2 linked regions of the Danio rerio genome follow. The protein of the gene in region 2 interacts with the protein of the main gene of each other region in a pairwise test. Links are inferred from orthologs where the notes say so. Each region holds a gene or a part of one and is shown on either strand. Other genes may lie near its edges.

Region 1 (6,755 bases), on a different chromosome or scaffold from region 2:
ATATAAAATCTCTTGGGATTTTAATATTCCTTAAATATCCATCACCTGTAGTGTGCAGTTCTCTCTTCTTTTCAGGAACTCAACAAATCGCTCCACGACACCAGGGGTGGCAATAACCTCATCAATAGGGGGATTAGGCTCTAATGGAGGGTTACAAAGACAGAATTAGCATAATTTAGCACTAATTTGATTATGTAAATGCTTGATTTTTAGTCTTTGGGGTATTTCACCTTTAGATAAGAGCTTTCTGAAGCGCTGTGTTCCTATGAGCTGTTGTTCTGGAGAGCTGGAGAAGATCATCTGTATCATGTCTTCAGAAATAACACTTCCCTTTAACGATGGAAAAACAAAAAAAGGCAATTAATTTTTCATCAGTAAGTAAAAAGCTAAGACTAGCCTTCATTTTTGCTGTACTACCGTGATTTGGTCCATATTGTTGGCCTGTGATTCCAGGTATCCGCTGTCAGACATCCCATCATCTTCCAGTGCTCCATCCTCCTCCACTGTGGCCACATTTCTGCGCTTGAACAGCTATAAGAACGTTCAAATTTGTCAAAGTTGAAACTTTATCCCCAAAGCTTCTCTTAAGAGTGCACTTTACTTGCAATTTTATTTAAATATATTTTATTTTTCAATATATATTTTATTTTTTTATTTACAATCAAGCACTCATGCATCTTCACGACTCTTCAAAATGAAAGCTTCAATTGATGAAATTGAAACAGAAATATTGTTGTCCAGTAGAATGTACTTTTCTAATAATAATAATAATAATAATAATAAAATATTTAAAAACATTAAATATGACAAAAATATGATACAATATGATTTTATGCTAGCCCAGTAATAGTTAATAGTGAATATAATACTTTACACTATATACAATACACTTTTATAAATTTTAATCAAACAAATTCAGATTGGTGAGAAACTTTTTTTCAAAAAGACAAAAATTTCTTTTCATTATATTGTCTCAAAGTTCATTCCATCCTTCCTATAAATTTAAGGCTAGTTTAATAATATCTTTATTAGTAAAACCACAAGAGTCAAATAAAACAGAAAAACAAGTCACTCTTATCTCCACTTGACTTACTTGTTCATCTTTCTTTTGTTTTCGAAGTTGCAGGCCTTCTTCCTCCCTCCTCCTCCTCATCTCATCTGTGTTGAGCGATTTGTTTTTATAGCTTTTGAGACGTGCATTGTCCTTCCCTTGACTCATGATGTTGTCTGCTGTAAAGAGACGATCAAAGCAAGATGAGCACAATAGAAAAATCATCAAGACTTATTAAAATACTTGCTTGATCTCTGCTAGATCACAGACCTCTTGAAAAGATCATTTAATGTCACTTGTTTCCATAGGCAGTGGAGACACACATACACACAAATTTTTACATCCTGCATTAGTGACAAAACTAATCTGACAGCAACCTTACTGAAAGGTCCTGTTATGACATTTTAATATACCTTGTTAAATAACATTGAGAAAAGTAAACATTTTAAGAGAAACCTATCCAGAGATTAACTATTCACAATTAGGAACATAAGATGCATTTAGAAAATAAATACATTGAATTTTCTTTTAATTTCATTTCAAGTTTTTAGCTTTTTCTTCACATTACTTTTATATTATTCACAATTAAATATATATATATATATATATATATATATATATATATATATATATATATATATATATATATATATATATATGCACAATATTGGAAAAATCTAACAATGCAATATTTTTTTGATTTTGCCATATAAATGAAATTTTCCCAGATGACTTAATATCTTTATTTTTGTCAAGAATTTATAATGTTAGATCGATTGGGATGATTCTGTAGTGGGAGAGCATATAAACAGTTTCTGTATAAACAATTTCTGTATTTGCATGTGCTGTGTTGTGAGTATTAATGATGAATTAATTTTTACTATTTGCATCCCTATAAAATCAAATAAACAATCTTTACATTTTTAGGGTACCTACCCAGACACATTTTTGTTGTGGTCTGTGCTATTTGCAGTGCATTTCTGTATATGCACTTGTGAGTATTTTTATTCATAACAATCTATTAATACAATCAACAAACTTCAATAAAAATAATCGTAGTTAAGGTCACAAATTGTGCAATTTCTTATAGCTGAATGCTTTTGAAGACATTATACAATCACAGGCATAAACAAAACATGTGCAAATGATACATTTTAATACAAACTACAACAACATTGCATATCCTGCGATATGACTATTGCGAATGATCACATTGCAATATTGATCGAAACGATATATTGTGCAGCCCTAATACTAACATTATTCTATTTTAAATTATTACAATTGTCTTGCTGATAAATCTGTAAAAAAGAAAGAAAAAAGTTTGAAATGTAAATGAATTATTATTTTTTGCTTCACTGTAATCCTTAAATTGGGTTTTATTATGTCATTGAAAGATGCCCACAAAACCTTTTATTTCTAAATTTTATGCTAATATGGTGAAATCTGACAAACATACTTTATCAACAGAGTGATAAAATAAGACATTCAAAATCCCTTTTGCATATGCCAATAATATGAAACAAAAATTAACCAGTGCTCAAAATTGTATGTTTAAATTTAAGTACATCAGCCCATTTTGAGTTCGACAGGACCTTGCTTTAATATGAAACCTGAACATTTCAGACACCTAATGGATCATAAAACAATTAACAATATTGAGGAAGTATGGTGATATGTATTAATTATTATTCACTGGTTTAGCTATTTCTACCCTGTTCAACAGTGGTGCTTTGGCCCAATATCTTCAAACTATTTATGTTTCTTATTTATTAGTAGTAGTTGTGGCAATGTTTTCTATTTTAGGACTGCACTGTTATCCTTACATACAGTCTTCTAATACATCGTCAAAAGACTACTGCTTTAAATGTGTCTGACATGATTTCTGGCATGTAAACAGTTTGGTGTCTTCTTTAAATCATGGTAAAAATGTTTGTTAAGACTTTTTTTTTCTAAACTATATATATTTTTTCTATTTATAAATTTAGTCTATGATTTTATTTTGTTTGTTTATCAGACGGTTTTCAACATGTCAGGCAAATTTCTAAATGCTTTGACACTATTTTTGATAAAAATATTTCATAAAAGATAAGGATTAAACGCAAAGCTTGAGCTAAACAACCACCACGGACGATAACATTTATTATTTATTTATCTCTAGCCAGTGTACCTGTGACATTTAGTCTCAAACTACTAAAAACAATATAAAACAGAGGCTGCATGGATCTGTCAGTGTGTTTTGGGCAGTGGTGCTAGAGCCCGCAGTGAAGAGGATCGACCCATCAAACCATCCACACCTAAAAACAGCCGCCAAACGCACCAATCTCACCGATCATCGCATCACAGAAGCGGAAACGATCGATTCAAGTTAACAAAATGTCATTTTTGCTCCACACGAGCTAGTGATCATCGACTGAAGAGCAGGTTTGTTAGTAATATCGTCTTAACAGCGGACTCGCCTCCCCCTCCCAGATCTGCGCAGCAGCCTCTGTTAGCTTATCTGCTAACCCAGCCAACAAGGTTGTCCGACTAACGCCTTTTATCTGTGTTTTAACATTATAATCTTTTGAATTTGACATCATGTAGACGGAATAAAACCAGACAGACACAAGTTATCCACACTGGCGTACTGACCTGTCAAAACGGCCTCGTTTATCCCTGCGTCGTTTAAGCTGCAACCGTTCAGCCTCCGCCGGTATAGTGACACTGCACATGCGCATTGTGAGAGGACATCGTGTGCGAAGCGCATGTCTGCTTCTCGGTGTTGCCAGTTCTGTGTAACGAACAGTGTTGCCATCTCCGCGCTTTATAAGTAAACATTATAAGCTTATATACATATATTTAAAAACAAATACATAGCTTATAATAAATTATCTATGTAGATACCTTTTATATCACATAACTCATTTTGTAGCATTCATACAAATCATAAAGCATATGCCAAAATAATTGGCAGTTCATTTCGCTGTGGTGACTCCTGATAAATCTATTATTATTATTATTTTTATGATTATTAATAATAATAATAATTGCTTTCGCCTCACAGCAAGAAGGTTGCTGGGTCGCTGGTTCAAGCCTCAGCTTGGTCAGTTGGTGTTTCTGTGTGGAGTTTGCATGTTCTCCCTGCGTTTGCGTGGGTTTCCTCTAGGTGCTCCAGTTTCCTCCACAGTCCAAAGACATGCGGTACAGGTGAATTTGGTAGGTTAAGTTGTCCGCAGTGTATGAGTGTGTGTGTGTGTGAATGAGTGTGAGTATGTTTTTTTTTAAGCCAGAAAGAAAATGAATGGATAAATGAATGAAAATAATAATAATATTTTATTATTATTATTAAGTACATTTATTTATTCATATGAACGTCATTTTTATCTATTTATTTTGTATAGGCCAATCATATATAATTTAAATTGAATATCTACATCTCATCTTACTTATTTGTTTACTCAGTTGTTTTACACAGTGGATGGCTGTATGCCTTTCCAGCTGCAACTTAGCACTGAAAGTACAACACTCAATGCTGGGAAACAACCACAGACTCTCCCATTCACACACATTTAGCCAATTTAGTTGATTCAGTTTGCCTATAACTTCACCTACATCTTTGGACTGTGGGGGAAACCGGAGCACCTGGGGAAAACTCGAGCAAACACAGAAATAGCCACACAGAAATAGCAACTCAAACAAGCAACCTTCTTGTGGTGAGGCAACCATGCTAGCCTCAGCCAATGTGCCATGGCTGAATGAATTGTTATCATATACACATTCATTCGTTTTCTTTTCAGCTTAGTCTCTTTCTTAATCAGGGTCACCACAGCAGAATAAACTGCCAACTTACGCAGCAATATGCCAACACAGAAATGCCAACTGACCTCGAACCTTCTTGCTGTGAGGTGACATCGCTACCCACTGCGCCTCCATCATATACACATATGTATTTTTATTATTTGTATAAAGAAATATATGTGAACAGTAATTTATAAATACAGTAAATCCTTTTGTTCATGTATTATCATCATATCACTTTTCCTTTATTCTTACATAATCACTCCTTTTGTAAAATTATTTAACAATGTTGGTTTATTACTCTCTTTTTGTTTTTATTGAGTCACTTTGAATGTTGTTTTTGTATTTTTGTATAAGTGTTTTTGTAGGCATGTTTTTCCATCAAAATCTGGCAACATTTAATCTTTTCATCCGCACCATATGATGCTTTCAGTGTTTTTCTCCTTTTAAGTCTTACATAAAAAAGGTAATATACGAAGATAATATTATTTAAAAAAACTCATTTTACAAATGTGAAAATCTGAAACTGTCCCCACCTTTGAAATGTGGGCTAGAAAGCTTGGAAATATGTTACACTTAGGAGAACAGAGATTCACACTAAATGACAGATTGTCCAGTTGTAACAAGATTTGGGAACCATTCATAATATTTTTTTAGATAGACTGAACTGATATAGACTTTTACAAGACTGTTGTATGGTAATTTATTTGTTTATTTAATTTCATTATTTACTTTATAATTATCTTATAATTATTTTAGAATTTATCTTTTGGTAATCGCCTCACAGCAAAAAGGTCGCTGGTTCCAGCCCCAGCTAGGCCAGTTGGCTTTTCTGTGTGGAGTTTGCATGTTCTCCCCGTGTTCGCGCGGGTTTCCTCCTGGTGCTCCGCTGCCTAAAACATGTGCTGGAAAAGTTGGCGGTTCATTCTGTTGTGGGGACCCCTGATTAATATAGGGACTAAGCCAAAAAGAAAATGAATGAATGTATCTTTTGGTCTAATTGTCTATGTACACCTATTGCTTCAATTGTATTTATTTTTTTGTCCTAGCCAGTTCCATAATATGATTGTAAATGTTATTCATGCATGACTTTTATTTTATTTTTTGCTAACTTTCTACAAACATTTTGATCAATGTTAGATGGGTGGGATGTAGGGTTTTGAGTTCCTTTTTGTTGTGAGCCAAATTCACTGTGAAAGTCTTTCCAAGAGATTTTTGATATGGATCATCTCTTTCTTGTACGGATATAGGCGGTACTGTGTGTATGTATTTTTTTTTTCAATGAAAATAAAGAGTTTAAAATATATACAGTTGAAGTCAGAATTATATATATATATATATATATATATATATATATATATATATATATATAGTTTATGTATACACACACACACACACACACACACACACACACACACACACACACACACACACACACTGTAAAACCCAATAAGTTAAGGGAACTCAAACAATTTGAAGAAACCGATTGCAACAAACCATTTCATTTAAAAAACTGATCTATATGAATACTATGAACTTACTCCATTTAAGTTAAAGTAATGAGGTATTTAATGAACTCATTCAACACTCGTTGACAGTTGGGATTTACAGTGTATATTCAAATATTAAATATCACACCTGCTGTCAGACAAACCACACATAAACGTCTGTATGAGTTTCATCAGGGAAAAAAGTATAGAGTATTTATTAAAAGTTATATGTCTACCTTACATCTAAAATATAAAAGCATACCATAATAATTTACCACAAAGTTATAAACTATCAATTTTTACACCAGAAAAATTTAGAAAAAATATAGGACTATCAATCAGTAGGCTAATGACAGGGATTTGTACAAACAGATAATGTCACCACTGCTACTATCATCCTCTTACATCCTTTTACTTTGTAGATTGTTGACAGT
Region 2 (6,162 bases):
CGACGGCGCTCCACCTGACGACAGCGCCCCGAGCACCGAGCTGTCCACCTTCTTTCCGAAATTAAAGGAGACTCCCGGAGGAGCTGCTGGCTTTTCTGCTGGAGGCTTGTCGTCCTTGTTTTTGAGGGAGACGGTCTGCGGAGCCGCAGCACAGGATGCCAGCGGCTTCCCTGGTGTTTCGTCTGCCGCCCCGCTGCCGTATTTCCTCTCGATGCTGGCCAGGTGACGCTCGTAGTCCCGGAAGATGGGGTTGAGGTCGCACAGCGGGTTGTCGTTGACGTGTTTGGTGATCCAGTCGCGCACCGAGCAGTTCAGCGCTGTGAGCTGCCGGTTGTACTCTTTACTGCTGGGGGCGGAGCCGTTGGAGGTGACCTCACCGTCTGTGGGCTTGGAGGGGGTGGAGCTGCTGAATGTTAAAGGACCTGTGCATGAAGAGAGGGAGATACATAATTAGGGATGCAATGGCTCTTGGTAAAAAAAACGTATTGTCTCGTCGTCCTCTCACAATTCGGTGCGTCCTGTGATCTATAGTTCATAGGGATGTAACGGTATTGTAAATACCGTCATACCGCAATATTAATTTTTTCGATATTACCGAAGTCGCATGACTCGGTAAAACTATAGGTCTTCTGAGAAAATTTGCTCAGGCGAATGAAGCGAACGGGAGGTAGCGAAAACTACAATTCCCATCAGCCCATGCTTGACCATCATCCCTTGCGGTCTGTTGTCGCTACAGATCCAGTAATGCGGAAATGGAGTGTGCTGCTAGAATGCATGTACACTTTCTCATGCATTGCACATGCGAAGACCTCTCCAATCACCTCCAAGTATGTAAATCAGTTGCTGACATCACATTTCCTCATGTGTCTGTGTGTGTGTGGGGAGTTTCTGTGGGTTTCAGCATGGCGAGTGAAGGAGATACAGCGCAAATGCGCAGATGAGGCCAAATCACAGCGCACTGCAGTCACGCATACAACATACGATTTTTAAAACGCTCAACTTTTAATTAATGCAAGAACATGCGATACATTTGTGTGAAGCTGTTGCATTGTCAGGTGTTCGTTAACGGTCAACAACCGCCTGAATGTACTTTACCCCTTACTTCATGGATAATTAAGTGTAGTTTTCTGTACTAATACACAACAAATTACTGTGATGAGAAGGGCTGCTTCCTAAATATTAGAGTTGGGGTCGAGTCCACCTTTGTCGAGTCCAAGTCGAGACCAAGTCCTTAACCAGTCGAGTACAAGTCCGAGTCTGAGTCCAAAAGGGGTCGAGTCGGACTTAAGTCCGAGTCCTTAACATCCGAGTCCGGCCGAGTCCAGACAGTCTTAAAACTCATTTATTATTTTTTCTTTTGGCTTAGTCCCTTATTTATCAGGGGTTGCCACAGCGGAACGAACTGCCAACTAGTCCAGCATATGTTTTACGCAGTGGATGCCCTTCCACCATTCACCCATTCACTCTCATTCACACTCACACACCCCGGCCATTTTAGTAAATTAAATTCCCCTATAGCGCATGTGTTTGGACTGTGAGGGAAACCGAAGCACCCGGAGGAAACCCACACCAACACACGGAGAACATGCAAACTCCACACAGAAACACTCCTGACTCCAGTCCCTGTGCGGCAACAGTGCTAAGCATTGAGCCATGGTACCACGTATGTAAAATAACAATAATAATAAATCAAATATATTTTTCTATTAACAATTAAACTGTTAAATGAAGAATTTAAACTTTTTGTACATTTTTACAAAATGACTTGTATTTTTTGTTAGCTTGCTTCAAATTAAAATAAAAATAGGAGGATATATGTCGAATTTTTATTATTTTACAAGACTCACACGATTGACATTATTCTAATGCCACTTTTTCACATTTCTTGTTTAAAATACGCTTGCATTACCAAGGCAAAAATGCATTTTTATTAACATTAAACATCAAATAACAGAGAACTGTTATCAGCCCCAGTGTGGAAAATGAAACCATACTCATGCCAACTGACCCAGATCAGCACAGAACATAAAAGGTTCAGCAAAGGGAGACCATTCGGCTTCACCACTGTCTTAACAGGGAATTAACAGTCAGAAAGATTTTGTTTTAAATAAAGAAAGAGTGATTAAATAGTGGGGGCGATTGGGTGCAAAATAAAACCCAGTGGGAATCAGACTGAAAAAATAGTCCAGTGCAGATTTCTAGGCTCTTGATCTGGGTCTATCTGTTAATGATAGCCTGAAACAGGGGTTCTCAATGTCTACATTAAAAGTTCTAAATCTGAATTTTTTTTATTAAGGTCAAAGCAAAGAAATTAAACAATTGATATTACATAACTTGTTTTTAATAAACATCCATAAGATGCAGCACGGTGGCGCAGTGGGTAGCACAATGGCCTCACAGCAAGAAGGTTACTGATTCGAGCTGGCTTAGGGCAAAATAAACACATACTTATCTGTTCATTCAACTTTGAACTGTCTATTCTCTTCATCAATTCTTTTCAGTGAGACTGACATCTTCTTCCATTAAAATGATTGCTTTGCTGCAGTGTGTTAAAACAGGCGAGCACACACGATTATCCAGCATGATCATGATTAGGCCCAGCCCTAACCAATTTGGAGCCCTAGGCAAGATTTCAGGTGAATTCCAGTAAATTCCACTGCTAGTGTACATATACTCATAAGACACTTATTAGCTTTGTCTTGGACATTCTTTCATTTTAATAAAGCAAGTGTACATTCCAAACACTTAGAAGTTTTTGCAACTCTGGGACACCTCGAAAAAATACGCAGCGATTATGCATTGTGAAACCCGTGTAAGTTTTGCAACTGGACAAAACAAAAATTAAAACAATATGATGCTGATCTTATTTTAACTAAACATGCTATGAAGCAGAAAAGAAGGATGAAGAGTCAGGCAGGTATTAGGCCTAAAACATGCCTAATGATTTATACAAGATAAATTCAGGTCTAAAAAGACAACATATAATTCTCATTCATTCATTTATTTATTTTCTTTTCGACTTAGTCCCTTTATTAATCAGGGGTCGCCACAGCGCAATGAACCGCCAACTTATCCAGCATGTTTTACACAGCGGATGCCCTTCCCTTTATATGCTATGGCCAATTTAATTAATCAATTCACCTATAGTTTTTGGATTGTGGGGAAAACCGGAGCTCCCAGAGAAAACCCACGCCAACACGAATAGAACATGCAAACTCCACACAGAAACATCAACTGACCAAGCCGTAGCTCGAACCAGCAACCTTCTTGCTGTAAGCCGACAGTGCTACTCACTGCGCTACCGTGCAGCCCACAGATAATTCTATAAAACATATTTTTTGTATCTTATGGAATTGTCGAATTAAATTAATATTCTTGCAAAAGACTTCTCAAATTATCTTAATACATCGCTCCTGTTGTGTCTTTGTGTTCCAGTTACATTTAGGACACATTTCTGTTATTTATTTAGAATATTAATTGTATAATAATAATTATATATATATATATGTATATATATATATATATATATATATATATATATATATATATATATATATATATATATATATATATATATATATATATATATAAATAATATAAATATATATATATATAAATAAATGGAGGGTGGGGGGCTTTTGAGGATATAGGTCATAGTCCTGGTCCTCTGTTCAAAAGACAGTGATGATGACATCAGCATACAACTATGCATAATTCTGAATTATTTTAAAACGAAACATTTGAGATGATTAATTGTGCAATACACATATTCTTGCACTCGGTCATTGACTACATATAAATAGAATCAGAAATGTGTCATTATCAGATTCTCTCTTGCATATTCAACATGGCAGATATATACTGCTGCTCACAATCAGTGATGTTTATTCTCACACAGAAGACTCACATTGTGGACACAGGCACCCCTAATCTCTCCAATGTCTCTCATCAAAATATTACCTGAATATTAATTTTTACACAAATTCAAAGTCAAACCTCATTTTATCTTTAAAAAGATTAAATTATTGCTTGAATTTGTGGACTTAGTCCACTGATTATCCATTCTGAATGTTGTCTGGATTTTAATATAACTCTACATTAAATTCATTTGTGCTTATATTGACTTAATATGCAACTCCAAGCAACATTATTACAACATTTTTGCTATTCCATCATTTAATTACTGTAATTTTACACAATCTTTATACTCTCCTAACCCTATCCTCAAAAGCAGAAGCTGATCTGGGATCTGGGATGAGTTTATTATACGGAACGCGTCCGTCAGTCAGCATGTATAGGCTACACTGATTCAGAAATGTGATGATCGACGCACATCTTTAATGGAAGTGAATGCAGACATTTTTATATTCATTTTAACGTGCTTTCAAGCCAAAATAAAGCGAAAGCACAATTCTCTTGAACAGCTCTTGCAGTTCTATCGCATTTCAGATCGCTGTGTTGACGGTGCTTTCACTTTTCATAGAAAGATTAAGCATAAGGGGGAAGAATTGGAAAATTAATCGGGATGATTGCGGGGATGTCATTACAAGAGTCACACAGGAAAACTTTGAATATTACGGAGTCCGGATTTGAGAAGCCCTGGCCTAAATCAAGCGCTGAACGAATATTTCTCTGGCTCAGAGCCAAAGAGTGAAACTTTGAATCTCACAGTTATTTGCGGATATATTGACACCAATATAAACAACAAAACAATATCGCCAAGATGTTTTAACATCATCCCTACGATATGAATGTACAATTCAAGTAAATAAGCTCTTACCTTTCTTTGCTTTCTTTCAACATGTCGGTAGAAGACAAATTATTGCTGAAACCTAGCCACGCATTGTGTGATTATGGCTATTTCTGGTTACACGTTTAGGGTGATGACGTGCTTATGCTGCCTGCTGGTATGGTGCGGTGGCGTAAATAAAAGCTGACATGCAGCCAGAGAGATCGCTAAATTCTTGTTATACTTTCATGCTGTTATTTATTCATTTTTAATATCTTTATTTGTGTTGTGAATGATGTGGACTCGACTGGACTCGTGATATTTTCCGAGTCCAAAATGTCCAAGTCCGAGTCAAGTCCGAGTAAAAGTTTCCCCAAGTCCGTGACAAGTCCGAGTCCAATGAAAACTGGACTCGAGTCCGAGTCCAAGTTCGAGTACCCCAACACTACTAAATATACATACACGTACATAAAAGTGAATTAGAAAGAGATAGTAACGTACCACTGTTAGTTTTAGCAGATGCAGGAACGTTGAAACCTGTGAATGACGGAGCCACTGATGCCACGCTGCCATTGGTCAGGCTGGCCATGGGTTTGAAGCCAGCACCATTGCCGAAGCCAGAGAACGAAGCCGTCGCTGTGGCTGGAGCCAGAGAAAACCCCTTAAACGCTTTGAAAGCCCCTCCACTCTCTCCCTGCGACAAAACAGCAGTATTGATGTGAACTATAATCGCTTTAAATAAACAACTGGGCGCCTGCTGGGATGCAGGAAGGGTTTTACCTCTGCAACGTTACGCCGCTTGGCTTTCTTGATGGCGCGGTTTTTCATCACATCATCACTCGCAATCGAAAACGTTCCTGCCTGAAGAGACAATAATTACCCCTGGTTAAAATTGGCAAGAAGCACAGCATGATTTGTAAATACGGAGCACAAATATCTACACAAAAAATTATATTTAAACTTAAAGCGCTTGAGAGAATAGGCTAATATGTTTAATTATGTTTAAATCTTTGCACAAAATCTAATTAATAAAATTCTTCACACTGCCTCAAAACTTTAGTCCATCATTAGCTATGTTTCGATCCGAAAATGCTAATTAAATTTATGCGCAAAACTGGATTATAGACGCGCGAATAAAGCAGCGTTTCCATCCAACGAGTCAAAGCGAACAAAATCGTCACTTTCTGATTAACTGGCGCCAAATATCAACAGTAAAGACGTCAATTGCTGCGTTTGGAGAGGCTGCGTCAATCTTTTCTTCATTTAATAAATGACTTCTGACCTCAGAAGACGATGCTGACATGCAGTGAAGTGAAGGTGGCGTTTGAAGGTGTCAGACGTGGAGCACAGACGTTCTTGATTCTGGATGTCATTAATAATATAACACTAATACTGAAACGGTAAGGTGTTTTAGGCCCCGTTTACACTAGTGC

The links. The genes of interacting proteins can lie anywhere in the genome.
Region 1: the proteins of nup50 (region 2) and kpna1 interact in binary tests that used the Homo sapiens proteins (3 or more experiments, as listed by UniProt). The two-hybrid records come from large-scale screens. The link is inferred for Danio rerio from reciprocal best matches to the Homo sapiens genes NUP50 and KPNA1.

Annotation. Positions count from the first base shown.
Region 1 is NC_133199.1:24,832,920-24,839,674, forward strand, and holds the start of kpna1 (importin subunit alpha-5), read right to left. Parts: upstream 4,021-6,755; 5' UTR 3,849-4,020; coding exon 3,686-3,848; intron 1,231-3,685; coding exon 1,094-1,230; intron 532-1,093; coding exon 418-531; intron 331-417; coding exon 231-330; intron 141-230; coding exon 46-140; intron 1-45. UniProt on the Homo sapiens protein: Functions in nuclear protein import as an adapter protein for nuclear receptor KPNB1. Binds specifically and directly to substrates containing either a simple or bipartite NLS motif.
Region 2 is NC_133179.1:71,995,979-72,002,140, reverse strand, and holds part of nup50 (nuclear pore complex protein Nup50), read right to left. Parts: intron 5,591-6,162; coding exon 5,510-5,590; intron 5,424-5,509; coding exon 5,231-5,423; intron 423-5,230; coding exon 1-422. UniProt on the Homo sapiens protein: Component of the nuclear pore complex that has a direct role in nuclear protein import. Actively displaces NLSs from importin-alpha, and facilitates disassembly of the importin-alpha:beta-cargo complex and importin recycling.